Linked DNA regions of Alligator mississippiensis. The main gene of each other region encodes a partner of the protein of the gene in region 2 in a complex. Links are inferred from orthologs where the notes say so. Each region holds a gene or a part of one and is shown on either strand. Other genes may lie near its edges.

Region 1 (11,070 bases), on a different chromosome or scaffold from region 2:
GTCTGCATCTGCTTCAGGGTTGGTTCAACCACTGTTACTCTTACTTTACTTTTAGGCCACCTTTAAGTGAGACAAGCTGTCCTTGTCTGAGCACATAATCCCATGGACAACAGTGTCATGGCTATTGTGAATCAGGTCTACTTGGGTGACTGGCTGCAGGACTGAGTTTTACTCTGTAGAGAGAAGTGTAACTTGCTACATTAGAAATGTCGTCAGTGGATTTTTTTTTCACTCTCTATGGATTTGGGAAGCTGGTAGAAATTCATTCATTCAGGAATAGGAGTAAATATTCAGTGGGCAAGTGACCTGAATAGGTTACACTCATGGAGCTGAGATCAGGTTTTGCACCATCACGGTTGCCCTCCGTGCTGCATCTGCTTCACCGGATCAGTCTCTTCTATAGAAATACCAGGAGGTTGAGAGACAGATTGAGGCCAATTCTCAGCCGGTGTAAATCAGCATGGCTGTATTGAGTTCAGTGGGGCTATGCTGCCTTTGCCTTACTTCAACTGGGGCCCTGGCACACTAATCCAGAGTCATTCTTGGTGCAACTCCTCCAACTTCTCTGAAGGTTACTCCAGGGATGTATTCGACACTGTCAGTTATGGAGCCGGTTATTTTAGAACAAAAGAAATAGGTCAGGGCTGGCGGCTAACTAGTTTTTGTGTCCCTGGTGGTTCTCTCCTGGGGGGGATCTCGATGCCACTCGTATATTGGAGAAATAATTGCTTCAAGTGAATGTTCACCGAAACTTCAAATCGGCATAAAGAGCAAAAAGAAATTAACTGACGGCCGATATTCCAGCTAGCTGGATTTCTAAAATGCCTGTTCTGGTGTCCTACCCTGGGGCATAGGATTGAAAGCGTCAAAGACTTTGGATGCTGTGTGCTGACTTAATATGTCCTCACTTGCTTTGATGAAACAGAAGGGTTTTTTTCAGCGATAGACATTTCAGTAGTATTTTGTATTATACATCGCACTGCGTATGCAAGACAGTGGTGGCTTATTACTGGATTGTTTATGCCTTTGGTACTCTCGGGCTTTGGCAGTTCGTATTTCTCAGGGCTGATCTGATGTGGGAATTTCACTGGTTTAATTCAATCAGGTTTGAAATAGATTTGAAATGGTGCCACCCAGTCAGTAGTTAAATCAATTTGTGACAAGTTAGCTTAGGTCACTAGCAAATTGGTTGACAAAGGGACTGAACCTAGTTAAAGAAATCAGTGTCGCTTCTCTTGGCCCTTACCAATGAAGGTTAAGTGATTGAAGCCCCCTGTTGACCCAGCTGTAAATGGGGGCCTGGGTATTGTGGTGGTGGAATCGGAGAGAGCTGGACACGATGGCAGTCGCCTCCTTCCCTTGTGTGCTATCGGTTGTAGGCGCTGATATGCCTTGACTGCACTGGCCAGGGCCTCTCAGTCTGGGCAGAACATTTTTGCCATTAGTACTCTGTCGCCATGCAGCTATATAAATTGTAAATTGATTACCTTTGTACCTTTGTTTAGACAGAGCATTTGCACTGATTTATGTCTCTCAGTCTCTGCCCTGTTACAGTTAAATGGCTCATCTGGGCATAGTTGCACCAATATCAAGGTAATGGCCTCAGTGTAATTTGTCATAGAGTAATAAATTCCCTCTACTCGTTCGTGAGAGCTGGGATTCAGCTGGGGTGCTATGGCATACACCTACATATGATTCACGAGAGAAACCCAGCCTTTTCAAATGAGAAGTCACAATGACAAGACCAGTCTTCCTTCCTTCCTGAGTTCTTTGCACCACAAGAATTGCTCTAGTATTGTTCTGTCAGCAAAAAAGGAGTGCAAACAAAAAGCTGGCAATTTCCACGGGTGCCTTGAGTCTAAAAAAGGTTCTAATATTTCTCTATTGTCTAATCCCTCTTTAGACAATACAGCTCTCTAGCAACTGAGGACTTTACAGGAGGGCTTTATACATGGAGACAACACTAATATTAAGTTTAGCTTTGTTACATTCTTCAGATGCACGGCACCCCACTTGCACAGTGCACGCGCCAAATGCCTGCGTTTCTTTACAAAGCAAGTGGCTGCAAATGCCAACCCCCTTGCCCCCTACCCCATGTGTCCCTGTTCTGCTGGAAACTTCAGTCTGCCTTTGGGTGAAGGGGGGACTGTCTTAAACAGGGGATGGTTCTCTTACTTTGACAGGTTATGATGGTGGCCAGCAAGGCGATGAGGAGGAAGAGGCAGGTGCCTGCTAAGGGGATCCAGATGTAAAAGTCACAGTTCAGCCATGTGTCTTGGGTGAGTGCTAGAGAAGGGAAAGAGAGCAGAAACGAAAAATAAACCAGAGGCTGGCAACAAGGCTCATCATCCCCAGCACAGCTGCAGCAGCCTCCAGCAAGGTGGGGGCATGCAGTTTTCTTTGCGCTGCCCTGGTCCCACGCCCCTGCCTTTCTCCCATGCACTTCAGAACCAGCCAGATCATGCAGGGGCTCTGGCGATTCCCCGACTGGGTCACTGGCTGGTTTGGGGCAGATTTTGGAGGTGAGGGTGGCAGGAAGCTGTAGTGGGGGGGAGATGGCTGCAATTCAGCATAAGAAAGAGCTATGAGATACACTTCATGCCTGGGAGGGATCATCCAGGATTTTCCATGCTCTGTGAAGTTGCTACCGGCTGGGCTCACAGCCGGGAGGAATGGGCAGGTGACTGGGAGGGATTATATTGCTGTGACTTGTTTGGTAAACCAGCTGTCTGGTTCCCTAGGCTGGAAAAGCACGCTGCCCAAAGCCTGCTGAACTTGGGAATGGGCCCTCACTCCCTGATCTGCATGACCAAAGCATGAGAGCTTTCCCAATCTCTTGAATACCTGCGCACCCTAGGCCCTGAGCTGTGGCAATTGCTTTGCAATACTCTCTTCAGCCTGAGAAAGCCACCGCTGGCCCATCTGGAGCCAACCCAGAAAAATGTGGAGCAATGTCATGTCAAATACTAGCAACCTCCCCAGTACCCACATCCCAGGAATGGGAATCCCTTCCCAGTCTGTAGCTGGGAGAGGGGCTTCAGGAGGGTGCTGCTCCCAGCCCAGCTACCTCCCCAGACCTGGATCCCAGCTTGCAGCCCTTCTCCCCAAAGCTGCATGAAGATGCTTTTACCTGGACTTTGGGTGCCTGGGCAGGTTGTCATCGCTGGGGTTGTGGTGATGCGTGTGGTGGTGGCTGCCGTTGTGGTGGGCGGCTGTGTAGAAGGCACTGTAAGGAACAATAGGAGGAACAATAGGAGGCTGATGAAATCCATCTTCAACCCTTTTTCCACCCCAGTCTTGCTCCTCAACCAGGGGTCTAAGGCTCAGCTCCCAGATACCCATGCACAGCCTATCTGGACAGAAACTCCTCCTCAAAGAGCTCCTCTGAGGAGGAAACTCCTGAGGGCCACGTTCCCAGAACAGGCTCCAAAGAGCAGCAGACTCCCATGTCTCTCTTTCTGTCTTATTCCCAGACAAAAGGGATGGAGGGTACTTCAGTGGTGACTGGGATGCTAAGGATGCAGCTGGCAGGGTACTGAGGGCAGGGGCTGGTGCTGACCTGGCAGGAAGACCTGTTGCCCGGAGCTGAAATGCAGCATTTGGTTCCGGTTGACAATGCAGTAATATTCCCCCTGGTCCTGCTCCTGAAAGGGCTTCACAGTCAGTCCGTAGGTGCTGGGCTTTTTACTTCCTACATAGCGTGCTTTGTCTTTATTGCTTGCGTGTGTCACCCGGGAGATGGAAGAGATGAACATGATGAAGCGGAGGACAGAGTCCTTGCCTTTGTGCATCCAGGACACGCCGCTGTCTGACAAGCTGCTGTCTGTGATCACACACTCCAGCTCCACGGAGTCTCCTGGCTTCATGGGTCTGTTGCTGAGGAGTTTGACCTGAATCTGTCCCTGGCACTTGCAGTGGCCTGAGGGAGAGAAGATCACCCAGTGCACTTACCAGCACAGCTCTTGCCAAGGAAGAGACAGCATCCTCGCTCCATCCCAACCCAGAGCCCCATCCCCTGGGCAAAGTCTCGATCCCCTCTGAGTAGGGCAGCATGCTGTTGGATCAGTGTGGTCCTAGTGTGCTCAGCAATCCCTCTGCTTCTTAAAACCAGCTGTCCGTCCCCCCAAAGATCATCCCATTCAGAGGAGCCATCTGTATGGAAGTGACCCTTACCAGGTCTTTACAGTGCATTTGTGCTGCTTCAGGGGTATACTTGGTAGCCGTGTTGGTCTGAGACAAAAAGACGTACAAAAAGCTAGAACTCTTGGTTCCAAAATGATAACACAGCTCACAAAGACACTCGCATGGACCCAGAGGGACAGCCTTCCACCTTCAGCTCCCTCTGTGCAAAAATGAAGTTTATTTCCTACCTACGGGGACTTTTTACCATCTTGTACCTTCGACACTTTTCCCAGAGTCTGATGAAGGGACTTTGATCCCAAAAGCTTGCAGAAAAGGACAATTTTATTGCTATTTTCCAGTTGGTCTAATAAGAGGTATCATTTTGGAACCACGAGTTCAAGTTTTTTGTGTGTCTTTGTGCTGCTTGTGTTTAGAGCCCGCAGCCCCTCCACCCCGGTCAGGTGCTGCGCTCAGCCCCGACAGTGCACATATGGAGTGTCTCTGCTGCCAGCCCTGCCTGCCCAAGATTAGACTTGGGCCCTTTTCTCTGCTCGCTCTCAGGATCTCTGTAAAACAACTAAATGGAAAATGAGCCTCTGATTGCTTTCCCCCTGTGCTCAGACACTTGCCCTTGTGCTTGGCATCCACTCTGCAGGGGACCTGGAGGGAGCCCCCTGCCCTCCCACTCCTCCTGACTCCTCTTCTAGAAGAAGGGCTCAGTAGCAGTTCCATACTCACACAGACTGAGGAGAAACAGCAAAAAAAGGGATCGGGCCATTTTCTCCTTGCATCGGCTGTCCTCAAGGCAGGCACGGCAGAAAGAGATGATCTCACCGGGTTGACTTCACAGGACCTGGTGGAAAGGAAGTGATGTCAGCGGGACCACAAAGAGAAAAAAGTTTTTCAGCTCCCAAAGTAAAATATACTCATGGAGTCTGGATTTCTTTTTTAAAGGATGATATGTCAGCTACGTGATCATCTTTCCACCTTTTCTTTGTGCCATTCAAAATGCTAAAAACACTTGAGCACTGGAGCCTTGGATCAGTGGTTTTCTACTTTTTATGACCCCCTTTTTGATTCACCCATGCAGAAGAACAGAATAATCACAGTTCCCGGGTTGAAAACCCCTGGTTTAAACCCTAAATTGTAGATTCCCAATGGAAAATCTGTTGTGTAATCCTGAGCCTCAGTCGGGTGCTATAGTGAGGGAGGATACCCATGCAATGTGTACCCTACTGATGCACTGGCTTATAACATGCCATTGCACATCTGCTGTGCAATATATTCCTGACCTGGCAAGAATACTTTAGATGCAAGATAACACAGGGCTGACATGTACGTTAGTTCAGCCTTCAGTTGAGCGTTTTCATGTTTGCAATTTCTTTGCTAACGTTGCTTTGTGCAGCTCTGAGGGTCTGCACTGCTTGAAACCCACCAAGAAGGTCCCATGAAGCTGGTGGTTTTTTTTCACATCTTGTGGTTTTTGTCTCTTAACCACCGTGACTTCCGCTCTCCAGAAGTGGAGCACATGTTGCACAGGGCCTTTTGCCTTCTGTATCTGGGCCATTGCAGACAGATGGTGGGTGACAATTTCTGAGACCTTGCGTGGCACAGCAGATACTCCCCAACATCAGAGAGGCGCTGACTTGGGCTGCAGGAGCCTTTGTTTCTTCTCATGGCTGCTTCTGACGTTCCTTTCTTTCAATGCCAACCGATCGTGCAGCAGGGGGTCTCAGGGGAGCTGCTTTTCCATTAGCTGCTCGGATGAAAACATGCATTTCCCTTTCAGGCTGGAAATGAAGCACTGCTGGCTTTTGATTGTTTCTATGGCTGCTACTTTGATGCAACATCTTTGAGAAAAGCAACACACAATGTTGAGTGACTGGCCCCATTTCAGCAGGCATGAAAGGATCTGGAGTGCACGTGCTTTTTCTAATTTGTGTCTTTTCTGAGATGGTTCAATGAAAGGGGAAGCAATTTTCCATCAGGTCTCACTACAAGTGAGCATCTTTGAAGCTATGAAACGTGATGCCAATTCCTGCCTGCCTGTAACAGATGTTCGCAATATTAAGAGAAAACATGTTTCATAGATACAACACAACTGTGACCTGTTTTGCATTAAGAAGAAACATTTATGATTTGTACTCAGCAAACACGTAGATCAAGAATTACTATCGAGAGCCTTGAGTTGTGTCCAGCGCTGTCCCTTTTATAACTCTCTGACTCAAACTTAAAGTGAAAATATCCTTTGAAAAGCACAATAAACCAATTAAAATAGAGTTAAAGACCACCTGGAGTTCTTCACATGGTTCCCTGTGTTATTACATTAGTTCAGCATCAGTTTGGATGGAGACAGAGGTATAGCTATATCAATCTCTAAAATGTATTTATTTTGGAGTGTTTTATGCAATCTCTAGGAGGGAGACCAAACCTATATTACACTTTTTTACTTAAAAAAAAACCCCTATACGGTTACTTTAATATTCTACATATTCAAATGCCATAGTGAGAGGTACGTATAAGGATTTGTTGACAGTGGAGCAGAGTCATGGATAAACTAGAAGGGGCTTCCTAAAGGGGATATACAGTATCAGGATATGGGCAAATATACTTGTTAACCACTTTAAAAGGGGAGGGTGAGCTGCTGCTTGGGAGTCTATCGGCTGTCATGGTGTAGCTCAGGGGCGTCAACCCCCCGCATACTGGCCAGATCTGGCCTATGGAGCCACATCATCTGGCCCTCTGGGCTTCTCACGGATCAGCTAGGGGGGAGCGGTGGCAGTGTTAATTGCCGCTCCTCTGCGGTCTGTGGGGAACTTGACAGACTGGATAGCATGGCCCTGTGCGCTAAATTGGATATATGCAGGGTTGGGGTGGGACAGGGCCAAATCCTAGGACATGGGGCCAGGCTAGGGCAGCACAGTACCCAATCCAGGCGCGTGGGGCCTACCCTGTGTGTTGACCCCATCATGTATCCAGCCTGCAGACTGGCCCCATTGCATGCATCGGGCCAAATGGTTGGATCCCACTGGTGTAGCTGTTACAGCTGCCAGACCCTGGCATGATACAAGTGAACTAGATTGCTGTTGAACCTGAATGCGACAGGTTTAAAGTTACAACAGTCTTACGACATCTGTATTCATGAACGCTGCATGCCCACAGTGGCTGGGGGGAGGGGGGGGGGCAAGGCAAGCTCCCGCAGGTAGCAGTGCCGTTGGCAGCAGGAGCATGGTGGCAGTAAGTGGGGAGCTCCCACAGGCAGCTGTGACGTTGTCGGCAGTAAGCGCCGATCAGTGGTCGGTGACTACCCGCAAACACCACTGGCAGTGGCGGCGGTGGCCAGTGGCGATCATGGACCTCCTGCAGATGCTGCTGGAGGTGTTGGCAGCAAGGGGGGTAGGGGGGGATAGTGAGCGGTGACCACCCACGAGTGCCGCTGGCAGTGTTGGTGGTGCCTTTTTCCAGAGGGCACCGGCACGCTCGGGGTGCATGTGCACCTGCGTGCACTCCCTACACATTGCCAATGTCTGTATTTTTACAGGAGGATGCAACTGGAACAGCTAAGTCATAACAGTTAGTGTCATATCCTTTGATACTGATGCAATACTTAGGTCTCTATACCCCAGTTCTCCCAGGTCCACTTACCAATAAATACTATTGTTAGTCTGCTGGTGATGTCTGGATACCAAAGCACTGTTTCCTGGCTAGTACTGGGCAAGAATATAAGACAACAGATCTCTATCCAGAAGAGTTGATCACTTAAATGGGATTCCATGCATCTTGGCTATTTCCAGCAGGACTTTACATGTTCTTAACAGTTCTGTGGATACCTTTATCTTTGCGTTGTCATCTGCTGAAATACTTTATGACTCATTTTTATGAGGAAGACAATCTTCATGTCATTCGTCCATTGTCACTGCTTACTATGCAATGTGGATTGGTTCATCTCTGGTACAAACGCAATGTGAATGACATTAGGGGGTGCTGTTCATTTATGTTTGTTGCAATGAGGACAGGACAAACAGCCAGCAGTTGCAAAAGTGGCCTTAATTAATTCATTTGCTGTGGACCTGATTTTTAAAATCAAACCCTCTTGGGTTAAACTGAAGTCAGGGCAGCCATTTGACTCCTTGATTTTAGCTACACATCAGGTGTTTGGAGATCAAAAGGGTCTAACCAGAAGAAATGTATGACTCCTTTCTGTCTGCATCTATCTGCTCCGACTTGCGACCTTTTAGGGCAGGGAGCATATTTCAGTTGTGTCTTTGTACAGCACAGAGCACAATGGAACAGGACTCTTAGTTGCATGTATTATCAACAACCACAACTGCACCTGAAAAAACTGTAGTGCTTTAATAAAAGCAGACCCTACATAAATAAATAATAATAATTCCACAGAAAGGCCAATCCTTCCATGCAAGGGCTAGTGGCTGATTTCAGTTGCACGGGTGCAAACCTGCTGTGATTGTCTCCATATCAGGGGAGTTGCCAGGAATCCACACCAACCCATCTGTAATAAAACTCGATCTGCTTCCTGCTCAGCTTTTATTCATGGCTTACTTGTCTTCACTCTGGGAATCTTCTCCTGAATACAGAGGAAGTGGAAACACAGAGCATTTGATCATGCTGCTCTACCAAAATAGGAAGCACATACATATTTTCTACCTCTTCTGTGCAGGTGGGGAACAGACTGCACGCGAGTGGGTGGAATCTCTCCACTGACTCTTATGGGAGTTGGGTTAGGCCAGCAGTTATGTAAACAGGTTGTAAATCAAAGCACTTTGCTGGGCCTGGATTGTCACAATCACTTGGGCTAAGTACAGACAGTTAAAAAGCCTGAGGCTGAATCAATTCAGTCTTTGCAGGTTTGTCTAAATTGCAGAGATTAAACTGAGAAACAACTGGACACACATTTACTTTTGATTCAGGAAATTCAACCACATGCCTGCAGTGGCTCAGACCAGAAGCTGAGGGGCACTAGAACACGCCTCTCTGGCACATAGCCAGCATGGGCTGTGTGTTTGCTTCCTCTTCCTGCTGCCTCCAAGGTGTCTGGGATTTGCAGTCCAGAATCACAGCAGCAGGATTCTGCAGGGTTGCTCATCACTCCCTCTTCCTGCTACCAGGTGCCTCTGGGATTTGTAGTCCACAGTCACAGCTAGCAGTAAGTTTCATGAAGTTTAGCAGCAGGGCAGCTCTGTACTCTGGGCAAGGTGGGTTTAACCCCTCTCCCTGGCCTCAGACCCCAGCTGAGGTTTGCCTTGCGGGGGGGAGGGGGTGCAGTCTCTGCCTCTCCCTGCCTAGGGTTACCATATGATTGGGTTTTCCCAGACATGTTCTCTTTTTTGGACCCTTGTGTTGCACCCAGGTGGGTTTTTAAAATAAGAGCAAATGTCCAGGTTTTCTGCTCTCCTGGTCTGGCTGCTTGGGGTTGAGAGAAGCAGGCAAGGTGATTGGCTATCAGGGTTCACATGCTTCCTGCATGGGCTCTTGCAAGCCAGAGAGAGAGAGAGAGAGAAGGCACACGCGTAATGCGGGAGCTGCTTGGGCAGCAGGGCTGGTGGGGAGGGGTCTACGGGTCAGAAGTGAGGGGCACCAGCAGGGCTGGGGGAGAAGGGGCTGTGGGTCCAGGGTGCAGGACACTGGCAGTGCTGGGGGGGACGGGCTATGGGTCAGGAGTGAGGGGCACGGGGGACAAGACAGGTGAGTATGGGTTGGGTGTGCAGGGCACTGGCAGAGCGGGTCAGGAGTAAGGGGCACCAGTAAGGGGTGGGGGGCAGGGTACTGCTGTTTGGGAGTGAGGGGCACTGGCAGGGTTGGGGTCAGTGGGTGCAGAGTGAGGGGCAGCAGCGGGGCTGGAGGGGTGTGGCTTATCAGTGAGGGGCAACAGAATGGGCAGGGGCAGGGCACCAGCATGTCACTGCCCTCCCCACCATCATATTCCCCCTGCCCTCCCCGACAGGTGTCTTCTTTTTTGGACCTGGAAATATGGTAACCCTATCCCTGCCCAAACCCTTCTCTGCTGGAGCAGACAGCCCAGCCCAGCCCAGCCCAAGGCTAGAAAGCATGCTTGGGGACTGTGATTTAACTTGAACCAGGAAGGGGTCTGGGACAAAAGTTTCATAAACTGGTTTGGCCCAAATCAGTTAAGTCTAATATACTACATTCAACCAGGTTTATCTTAAACCAGTTTCATCCATTTTGAAATTGGTTTATGTGTACTGAACTTCTATTCAGACAGAAGGAGAAACATTTTTGGGGGGGGGCTGAGCATGCATGTGCAGGTGTACACACTCCCCCACACAGGAAGGTCTGCGGGGAAAGGGCCATGTAGGGGTGGGGGGAATGGGGCTGGGACCGGGCAAGGATTGGAGAGGAGCTGGGCCTGGGATTGGGGCCAGGGCCAGAGCCTGCTGTGCCCATTCCTTCCCCTGTGCCTGGAGTCATTGCTCGGTACCAGTAGCCCTGTGATTCACTGCCCCACACTGGGCCCGGCTCCGGCCTTGCACTGCCCAGGGGGGCTGGTTATGGGGTCAGCTTCGGCTGCACTGCTGGGCCGGAGGGGATGGAGCCCATGGGAGCCCTGTGCCCACCCCCATCCTCCCCAGGAGGAGCCTGGCGCCTCCTCTAGGGGCAGGGCACTTAGCAGCCAAGGGGAGCACTGGCCTCTCATCTTTGTACGGGACAAAGGCGGGCTACAGCTGCGAGCTGCACTCTGCCTGCTCCATGCCTCGCTGCTGCCTTTGAAAGCAGCGTGGTGCAGCACCATGAGAGTCCCACTGCTGGGTAGGCCGGGCAGTGAGGCACATGGTGCTGCACCATGCTGCTTTCAAAGGCAGCAGTGAGGCATGGAGCAGGCAGAGTGCAGCTCACAGCTATAGCCCTGCGCAAAGATTAGGGGGCCACGTGCCCCACTTGGCTCTCTGGCGCCATGCCCCTGGAGGAGCC
Region 2 (10,193 bases):
GGTGTCACCGTGCCCTACATTCCCCCCCGACTTCAAACTCTCAATGGCGTTCAGCGAGAGATAAGGGGTCTACTTACTGCTGTGCCTCTAAAGGTCTTTCTCCGTCCCAAGTAATTCTGGTTTTACAAGTGTGATTACATGCAAAGAAAAGTAACGGGGGAGGCGGCTCTGTGGAAGGGAACAGGACAGCGGAAGTTCACTGGAAGAGTACATCAACAAGCGAGACGCTCCGAGCCTGCCCATCCTACACGTAGCCTAAAGTCTTTCCATTGACTTCAGTGGAAATTGGAGCCCAGATGACGCCGAGTAAGGAGAAGAGAATTCATCACCTGCTGGGAAGGACGCGAAACGTCGCAGCAATATTGCGCTGCATTTGTTTTCAACCACCTCTTGGTTCTTGCCTGAGAATCCCCCCCCCCCCCCCCCCCCCGCCTTTTTTCCTATTTTTTTATTTATTTTATTTTTTTTTATAAATCAGTCATTGTTTGCTTTGGGTGGAAATGGGAGAAAACATCATGAAACTCATCCTCCCGCAGTTTCAGAAACCTACTGCTTCATAACAAAGGCAAAAGAGAGCAGAAAAAGCAGAGGGTACCCACACAGCCTGGAAGTACCCATGAAATAGCAGCTCTTGCTGAGCGACCCACATGGTCAGGGGAGTAAGGCCTCCGTAGATCCAACAAAGTTTGAGTATCCTAAATTAGAAAGCGGCAACATGCTATGTGTTCTGGGCTATGTGAGCCATGGCCTTGTGTTGAGTATCCCAACCTCTGTCCTCCTAAACAGCACACAACGGAGGGGGCTCTGTGCATCAACCAGGGTCTAGGAGACGGCCAAGTTCAGCCCTGACATAAAGCTCTAGTTCAGGCAGGACCTAAAGGGAACGATTTAATTAATTTTTTTAATCCAAGGTGTTAGGAACAGAAGCTGGGGGGGGTCAGGACCTAAAGGGAACGATTTAATTAATTTTTTTAATCCAAGGTGTTAGGAACAGAAGCTGGGGGGGGTCAGGACCTAAAGGGAACGATTTAATTAATTTTTTTAATCCAAGGTGTTAGGAACAGAAGCTGGGGGGTTTTATTCTCACTAACACCTAATTAACACTTGGGGGGAAAAAAAATCTCCCTTTGCCATAAACCAGCTCCTCTGGTCTTTGCAAGTAAGGCAGAGAAAGCTCTTCATGCCCATCTCGGGCACCTCTCCTCTGCCCCGACTCCAACACAACGAGTCTTCCACCAGCACCAGGGAAAACAGATGCAATTAAGTAACGCCGCCACCACCAGCACTGCGGCCTTCGGGCCTTTCTTCCCGAGAAGTGAAAGGCACAGCGCCCCATCACTTTGGCCAGGTCGGCTTCCAAAAAAGTGCTCCAGAGCAGCGTTGCTCAACCTGTGGGTCGCAACCCAAAAGTGGGTTGCAACCCAAAAGTGGGTTGCAAGAATGTGTGAAAGGGTCATGAACAAACTTTAAAAATGGATTCTCCTTTATAGGAGAAGAAACCACGGCTTTTCCCTTGCAGGCTGACAGAGCTCCAGCCTGCAAGGGGCTGCTTGGGGCCCCCCATACCCACCCTCTACCCCACACACTGGGGGCCTGGAGTGGGGCAGCAGGTTGGGAGCGAGGGGCACTGGGTCAGGACTGGCCATCGATGTTTACAAGTGGGTCCTGGTACAGAAAAGGTGGAGAACCGCTGCTCTGGAGAAATGCAGGAGATGCTAGATCCTCATCTTGTAAAAGGCACCCCACGGACTACCGGAGAGCCAGGCAGATGCAACTTCTGTATCTCCCATTTAGCAAGAGAGGGGTGGAAAAATCGAAGAAATATCCACCCTTGTGGAAGAAAAGCAACTCCCTCAAACAGCATCCCCTAGAGATACAATCAAGCATTTGAAACATGACTGTGAGCGAAATGCAGATGATGCCACGCTTGGGGTGCCCCCCTTCCTATGAGAATCAGGAGTCGGGGCGGAGGGGGGGGGACGGGGACACGACTCTTTTTGTCTTTCTTGCTTAAGCCACAAAATAATTTCCACAGAGGAGCTGTATCACCTGATCAGCACCTGGGGCTACTTTGAAGTCTGTTTTGTTTCTCTCTGGTGACTGGCTTTGCCTGCATAACTGAAGTTTGGTGTCAGTTTGTGGGGGGGCGTGCATGCCTGCGTCTGTGTGTTTGCCTAGCTTCGGTCCCATGTACGTGCGGGTCCCCGTGGGTTTGCAGCTCTGCACAGTTGTCTGGGCGACTGTGTGTGCTCATCTGTCCGTGTTTGCCCTTGTTTCTTCTGGGTGTGTGTGCATCTCTGCTTGCCTCCGGGCGCATTTGTGCAACTGCATCGTTGGTTCTCCAGCCTGTTCGACTTGAGGCCCCCTTCAGAAAATGCCAGCTCTTAACTTGCACTCGTGTTTTTGACTGCAGAAAAATAAGGCAGCCATTTCTCTGCTGCAAAGAGCTTGGAAAGCCTGCAGCAGGGCAGGATGGGTTTGACACTGTGGATTCCTATCGGGAATGGCTGGGTTCGCCTTTGACCCGTGGGTAGGTGCTTGCACACTTAACAGCGCTAATATTGCAAAACACCCAAAAAGGATCTCCTGGTTGACAGTCACAGGGCTATGTGTTTATCTGAATGATGGCATCTGTCTTCGAATCCGTGTGCGTGTTTGCACTTCTATGCGTCTTCATGCCAAGCCCGGGTGAGACTTGGTGGGGAGCGGGAACACCTCTCTCCTTGGATCGGGCTGGGCCCCCTGGTTCAGGAGGAATGTGCTGGAGGTGGAGCATGGCAAGGCGAGAGAAACTATTTTCCCTTGAACATATGCCAGGGATGTCCAGTAATGTTGTGGTCCTCTCTCATCTGACCCACACCCCCGATCGAAGCATGCTGCAGTAGCCTTGCTTTGACCAAGGACAACAGCGCCCACATTTAAAAAGCAAACGCGGCAGTCAGTGTAGTCACTGCTCACCACAAAAGACAACCCTCAGCCTCGGACAGTACCGATTTGCCCACAGGAATGACCCCCGTGTCTCTCATATGACCAGTGAGGTCAGCCCCAAAAGATCCAGTTCCCAGAATATTTTGCAAGACCAGGGGGACCGGATAACAGTCTGAGCAGCCTCAGGCTCACAGCTGCCAAGCTACCCCGTCTATGGTCCCGACTCGAAATCTTGGATCCACACAGCTTGAATTTTGCCCCTTGGTCCCTTCTCTTATTTCTTGTGGCTTGGGGTCAGCAGAGAGGCAACTTCAAAGGGGGCAGCTTGGAGAACTGGACACAGCCTGGGTTTGCAGCTGCATTTGGGTTTGAACTCAGACAAGCAGGCAGTTCTGCACTGAGTCTGCATTTAAGAAGCTATAGACCACAATACCAGCCAGGGGTAATTCAGTGACCTTTCACTGCAGACACGGATTTGCCCTGCTCCTCACTTCCAAGACAAAACAGCCCCATACCAACCAGACCCTCCAGCCTGCTCCCAGCTTCAAGGCTGGCAGCTCAGGAACGGGGAGATCCAAGGCAGATTAGACAGAGCGCTTGACGTTTCAGGGCACAACTCCCAGCTTTCCTCCTCGCTTTGCCCTGGAAGTTGGGACTTTGGAAGCAGTGACTCACTAGACTCCTCACCCTCACTCCAGCTGGGGACAGTCCCTCTGGGGATCCCCTTAGAAAGCAGTTTTAGTAGGATTTGGGGAGGGCTGGCAGGGAGATGAGGGCTTGTGTTAGAGGCAGCAACTCAAGAACTCAAACAGCTCAACGGCAAACATGGGTCTTTCAGTCCAAAGGTCTTTCAAACAGGACCCCGTACCCCAACCGCGACCAGCCTAAGCAGCCAGACTCCTCTGTGTACTGGCCTGATACCATAGTGATGGACTCATTTCCCATTTTATAGTCTCACTTCACCCCCACCAAAAAGCAAGTCCTTCCCCAAAGATGTCGTTCTTCCCCAGAGGAACCATCGCTTCCCAGCCAGGGAAGAGCTGGCACAGACCCCAGTGCCACTCCGTGCCCGCTCATGACAGCAATCCCCAGATCCCAGCCCGAAGGCACAGCTCTTTTCACCCAACACGGCCCCAGCCCTTCCCTTACCTGCTTGCTGTGAGATGGAGCTGAGCTGCTTTTAGATCTCCATGGCCAGTGAGTGAAAGCACCTTCCCAGTCACATGCTAGTCTCCATCCTCGGGGTGTAGACCATGGATACAACCTCCCGGACAGCAGCCCAGCTTGTCCTCACATCAGGGAATGGCAGCAGCACGGTCTCGCTCGCTCTCGCACTCTGCCTTCCCTGATTTCCTGCCTTCTGCAATCTCATGAGCAAGCTCTAGAAGTTTGTTCTCAGCACTCGCCCGACCACAGCATGCTAGCGAGGGAGGTTTCCTGCCATCCGCAGGCCCGTCATTCTAAAGATGGAAGCTGCCGGTACAGAGGGGCACCGTCACTGCCTGGGTATCATCTCCCCACTGCCGACACAGGTGTTGGCTGTGACTCCTGCTGCCACCCACCACCCCGCAGGGAAGTCCAGTGAGAGACATGCAGCACCCGGCGTACTGCAGATGCTTTCGGCTGGTCTTGTAAAGAGAGGATGTTAAGAGTGCACATGTGGGGGAAGGTAGGAGTGTGGGGGTGAATTCTGGCCTACATCCTAATTAGGCGCCAAGTGATATGCTGCGCATATCAGGAGGGCAATGCAAAAGTTTAAAAGATCCAAGTTTGGGTGACTATGCCCTGATGCACACAAAACTGGAACTCTCTCCATGGCCCTGACATGGCCCCAGTCCCCGGCATCACTGAGGATAAGCAGCCCTGCAAGGTAAGAAGGTGCCATTTCCCCTCGGGAAACTGAGGCATAGGTGGGGGGCTAAGCAACATGACCAAGGTCACACAAGCCCCACGTGGCAGAGCAGGGAATTGACCCCGAGTCCCTGGATAGCTCCCTCACCACGGCGCTGGCCTTGCTCTCCTGTTAAAGGGGTCTCTTTATCTTTGCCACGAATCCAAGGTCCCAGCACAATGTCCAGCATAATGATGCCAATACTCTCAACAAGATCAAAGCCAGTCTGTCCCCCTACCCAAAACACACAATCCTAATGATTCTCCAGCCTGAATGGTCCAGTGCCCATACCCACCTTGGTTGACAAGGGGCAGCCTTTGGCATGCGTCCAGAATAAGACTTGAACTTGTGCCCCTGGAGCTGTAGCAGGACAGCCGAATCATTTTCCATGTCATGATCTCCCCCTACTCTGTGCTGTACCGCACAAGTGATAACCGTTACCAGCAGACAGAGCAAAATGCACCCCTGACTCACGTCCTGCACGGTGACTGGGTGATGTGCTAAGTACCAGGGCCTGAACACACCACCAAGAGCAGACCACAAGCAGCTGCAGCTTGGCTGCTAACTCAGCAGTTCTGCTTGGACTTTGGTAGACAAGGCCAAGGAGGGTGAAGGGTTCAGAGGTGTGAACATGTCCTGAAAGCCCAGTGTCAATAAGTGAGAGAGCCCTGTGCTTACCAAAAGCTTATCTCCAACTTAGTCTATAAGATGTAAATCTAGCCTGCCTTCTGTTGAGAAATGAAACAGAATTTCTCTTCCCCAGCAGTCCTCCATCATACCTCATCTTTCACCACTTGCACAAAGCCCCAAACTTTGCACACATGGTGCGAGAGAAAACCCACTGCCCTGCAATGCTTGCAGACTAAAAAGAAGGGGAAAAATAAAAGGTGGGAGTGGAAACAGGGGCACAGAAAAAGGAAGGAACATGGGCAGGGTCACACAGCCAGTCGGTGGCAGAGGCACCAGGACACGCATCTCCAGAATCGCCACCCAGAGAGCAAACATATGCCAGGCCGTGAGAGAGGCAGGTAATGAGCCACAGGGGAACTGAGCCAGCCTTCTCTGACAGAGAGCAAGGGCTTGGCTTTCTTCTTTCCTCTCCAGAGAGGGGCTGAGCAGCGAAGACATCGTCTTCAGAGGCACTCCATGTTACCTTTCCGAAGCCCTACGCTCTGCCAGTGCTGACAGCACGAGAACCACAAAGCTATTGTCTTGGCTTGTGAGATCAAATGCAAAGCCACAGGTACCAACAGCCAGCTCTGCAAGAAGGAAGGCAGGAAGTCAAGAGAATATGACACAGAGCAACAGGGGAGAGAGGCTCGACGGGGGGGCCACGACCTCCATACAGGGCGATATGCCCGGGCACATGTCAGGGGCATTTTGAACAACAAGGGCAACCGTAGGAGTGAAGCGCCTCCATCTTCCCCATAGCCCAGCTGCGATCTTTATGCCAGCAATTGTCCCACAGGCAGCAACGCGCGTATGGATGTTGCTCTAGCTTGGGCTCTGGCTAGCTGTCTTCGGAGAGACTTCTCCAGGGGGCTAGCGGAAAGGGCAGTTTGAGCAGGAGGCAATGATTAAAACACCCTCAATTCAGCACTTCCACCCAGCTGACCTAGCAACTTGGCATCCTGTCCAGACTCCTGCTCATGTACCTGCAGACCTGAATTCCTCTCCCAGTTTGACTGGATGTGGTTTCAGCTTCACTTCCTGTCCTAATGTTGCTCTGCTTCGTTAACATGCTGCTCTGACCCACCCCAAAGCAGGCTGTGTTTCAGTGGTAGGCAAAACAAGCCTCTTGCATGGCGTAAAAGTTTGCAAACCCGCTTTAGGATATTTCAGGACCAAAAAATAAATAAATACCATCAAAGCATCAATCAATCATTTTTATTGCTGTTATGGCAACTGTACAAAAAAAGACAGGTTCGCTTTGCGAAGGATATGTCAGGCTTTCAGCCTCTCTGCAACTGGAAAGCAGCGACAAAACCATCAGCACCCACTTCCCATCTGCCAGCACAGATCATTAAAAAAAAAATCTAGCATCCTCTTTTATCATCAAAAACACTGAAAAATGGCAAAAATATTGACTGCTTTTATGATAAAGCATCGGGGCGGGGAGGGACAGGGACTCAGTCCATTTTTCAAGGCAAAATAAGAACGCTTTTTTGTTTGAAAAAGGTCAATGGGATCTCAGTGTTGTGAAGCTCTGACAATCTTCCTGTATTTTCTTTGAAGGCTTGGAGCCAGAAGATCCTTAGCAGGCTTCTTCGCTGCACCAGCAGCAATTTGTTCTAACAGAAGCTGCGGGACTTAGGGCTGAAAATTTGCAGCCAGGGTTTCAGGGTTCAGCTCCTTCACTAAGGGTCTGAGCCGAGCAGGGGGCCAGGACACAGGGCCCCTGGATTCTCCTCCCAGCTCTGTCCCCAAGTTGCAGGTGTCTTGGAGCAGGCTGTACTACTTTCAACCCATGCCTCCATCAGCAGCAGCCTCCCTCTTTGGTCGATGGCCCTCAGCAGAGGCTGTGAGCTTCCACAGATCTGGCACCGTGCTCCAAGATCCGCGGCAAAGTGTCAAGTCAGGGTTCATCACTCTCAGCCAAAGGAACAAACGTTCCCTGGAAAAATCAGCTTCCCAAACAAGGGGTCAGGGTGGGGACTGCAAGCCCCTGCAGGGCTGAGGAAAAAAAACCCGAAGTCTCCCAGCTGCGGGTAAGTCATCACACAAGCCGGAGAGAACATGAAACACAGAAGCTGCCATGCATGTGGCCAAACAAAGGCACCTGCTTCGGTGGGGCTGTTCACCGGCTCCCCATAGAGCCGGCACCCCTCTCATCTGAGGCCTCAGCAAAACCAAATGGAAACAGCAGCGTGTAGCGGAAGCAAGCGACAAACCCAAGGTGCTCGCCGCCTTTTTCCTCCGCCATTACCAAGAAGCAGCGTGGAGGGGGAGGGGACTGGCCCACTCAGCGCAAGGCTGGGGGAATATGGATTAGATGGCTTGATCAGAAGTAATCCCCAGGCCGAGTCAGGCCAGCAGTAGGGGCTTCGACGTAGGTGTGTGGCACAGGGGAGGGAGGCCCCGTCTGTGCAAGCCTGGGATCAGACAAGTCTGGGGGCGGCAAGGAGGCCACTAGCACATGCGACACACAGAAGGCAAGCCGCCTTTGCACCGCCTTCTCTTCTTGCTGCATGGAAAGTTTGCTCATGCTTTTCAGCATCAGCAAGCAGCCTCCAGCAACGTGGCATGCGTCACTGCAGCCGCAGATGCTCCAGCAGCGATGCTCCCTCCCCTCCCATGACAGCATCACATGCTGCTGGGAACAGTTGGCTCGCCTTGTGCACGCCACATGGCTGCAGGGCTGCTCACCTTGTGCAGGCTCAGGGGTTATGGCAAATGCAGAGCTCTGTGCATCCTGGAGATGCTGCTCCATACAGCAGAGACCCCCCAGGAGCAGGGACTGAGGAGCGAGAGGGCAAAAGCCACCGCAGGGCAACAGGAGGCAGCCAATAGGCCAAATGTGATGGCAGTAGGCAGGGCTCAGCTCCCCTGCTGCCCGCCAGCCTCTGCAGCGCACATCCCTCCAGTTGCAAGGGATTGAGCTGAGGACTGAAGACAGAAGTGAGGCGAGTCCAACTTCCCCAGCTCCATCCATGCCTCAGGTCCCAGGCGATCAGGGCAGCCCTGGCCCAGTCTTGCCAGGTCTGGTTTCAAGCAAGCTGTTGCAGTATCGCCAACAAGGGACACTCAGCAAGGAGAGATGAGGCACCTCTGGGCAATAGGAGCAAGCAAGGCAGCAGGATGCCAGAGCCAGCAGCCTGCAATACTGCAACCCCGCACTGTTTTCCCTCTAACCTGCCTGTTGGGTTCTTACATTCAGCCTGAGCGTCTCTGCAGGGATGCGTGGTACAGCTGCCCACGTTCAGGGCCAGGCGGTGCCCCTCGACAGCCTGGGGGAGCCTGGCAGCCTCAGCAGAGGGAGAAGCGGCGGGAGTTGATGTTCATGCGGGTGACGCCGATGTGCTTGAGCGGCGTGGAAAGGAGGAAGGCAGCTTTGGGTGGGATGTTGCAGAGCAGGTCTGAGTCCTCCTCACAGCCCTCCAGGCCGAAGGTGGCATCGTCCAGCATCTCCTTGTGCTGGTGGCAGGCCTGCTCCACCTTCAGCCGGTGGATCTGCCCTCGCAGCTGCATCAGCTGCCGTGCCAGCTGGTGGTCCACGGCCTGCATCTCCTGCTGTGCAGAGGGAAAGAAGAGCCATGAGGGAGCCACCACTGAGACTGCGCTGGAGCCAGACACAGAGGAGCCCCAGCGGGGAGGTCTGCACAGCAGAGCATGGCATGACCACAGCATGCCCACCCAAGCCTTGCACTGCCTGTTCTCTCCTAGCTAGCACACATACTGTAGCACAGCTCGTAGGCTTCAACTCCATAGCAGCTCTTGGGGGCCCCTGAGCACATGCTGCTGCCTTTCTAGAGTGATTGTGGCTCCAGGCTGCCTGGGTTAAGCGTTGCATAGAGAGCCATGCCTGCAGCTGGCTTAGTCGACACGCTCCCAGCAGAGCCGCATGGGCAGCAGGATGAGAAGATGCAGCGGGACAGAGGCCCAGAGATGCACACAGAGATATGGGCAGGGGTAGACAGGTGGACAGAGACACAAACACACAGAGAGGTAGGAGACATGCATGGAAAAAACACAGATGGGCACACATACACACAGCTGTACTGACACACACACTCCAAGATAGGCAGCCAGATATGCACAAGGAATCGCAGACACGTGGACAAAAAAGGAGACACGTCGTTGCAGATGTACAGACAAGGACACACCGACACAGAGGCAAATGCCAGAGTCGCACATCAATGTACGCGTGCACACACACACGCGTCCAGATCACTCAAGGCAAAGCAGAATGGCACCAACAGCTGGGTCAAACATGTAGCGGCACACGCCCATGCGAAAGCTGCCCCAGGCCTCTGATAAGCACTTGCTGCAGGGCGTTTCCCTCGGGTCTGGACGAATCAGTCCTGGCTGCAGTGATTTCTCCTTAGCATGGGATGAAGCCACGCTCTTTGCAGCTGCTCTGGTTCAACGATCCTCCTGCCCTCTACGGCTCCATCCCACGATGCTACGCCACAGCATTCCTTTGGAAGCCCTTGACCCTGCCACCCGACAGTCCCAGAATGCACTGGGACAGCCCCAGCTGAGAGGGGTGATGCCATGGGGCACCAAAAAATGGGTCACACCAAAATTGGGTCACATCTGCCCCAGCCTCCCACTAAAGCAGAGGAAGCAGCCCGCCCTGCCACAGCAGGGAACACACAGCTCATGCGCAGATGCACCCAGGCAGACAAAGTGCCCTATGAGCCCTGGGGAGGGC

Evidence for each region.
Region 1: the proteins of LCK (region 2) and CD8A are in contact, whole or in part, in an NMR structure (PDB 1Q69), measured with the Homo sapiens proteins. The link is inferred for Alligator mississippiensis from reciprocal best matches to the Homo sapiens genes LCK and CD8A. Residues at the interface, in NP_001036236.1 of Homo sapiens: Cys20, Asn22, Cys23, Tyr25, Pro26, Ile27, Val28; in NP_001139345.1 of Homo sapiens: Arg212, Arg213, Val214, Cys215, Lys216, Cys217.

Annotation. Positions count from the first base shown.
Region 1 is NC_081825.1:14,441,122-14,452,191, reverse strand, and holds the start of CD8A (T-cell surface glycoprotein CD8 alpha chain), read right to left. Parts: upstream 5,180-11,070; 5' UTR 4,901-5,179; coding exon 4,861-4,900; intron 3,920-4,860; coding exon 3,560-3,919; intron 3,227-3,559; coding exon 3,131-3,226; intron 2,287-3,130; coding exon 2,176-2,286; intron 1-2,175. UniProt on the Homo sapiens protein: Integral membrane glycoprotein that plays an essential role in the immune response and serves multiple functions in responses against both external and internal offenses. In T-cells, functions primarily as a coreceptor for MHC class I molecule:peptide complex.
Region 2 is NC_081829.1:5,613,873-5,624,065, reverse strand, and holds the start of LCK (tyrosine-protein kinase Lck), read right to left. Parts: upstream 4,419-10,193; 5' UTR 4,078-4,418; intron 1-4,077. Other genes in the region: protein FAM167B, read right to left, coding at 8,786-9,049. UniProt on the Homo sapiens protein: Non-receptor tyrosine-protein kinase that plays an essential role in the selection and maturation of developing T-cells in the thymus and in the function of mature T-cells. Plays a key role in T-cell antigen receptor (TCR)-linked signal transduction pathways.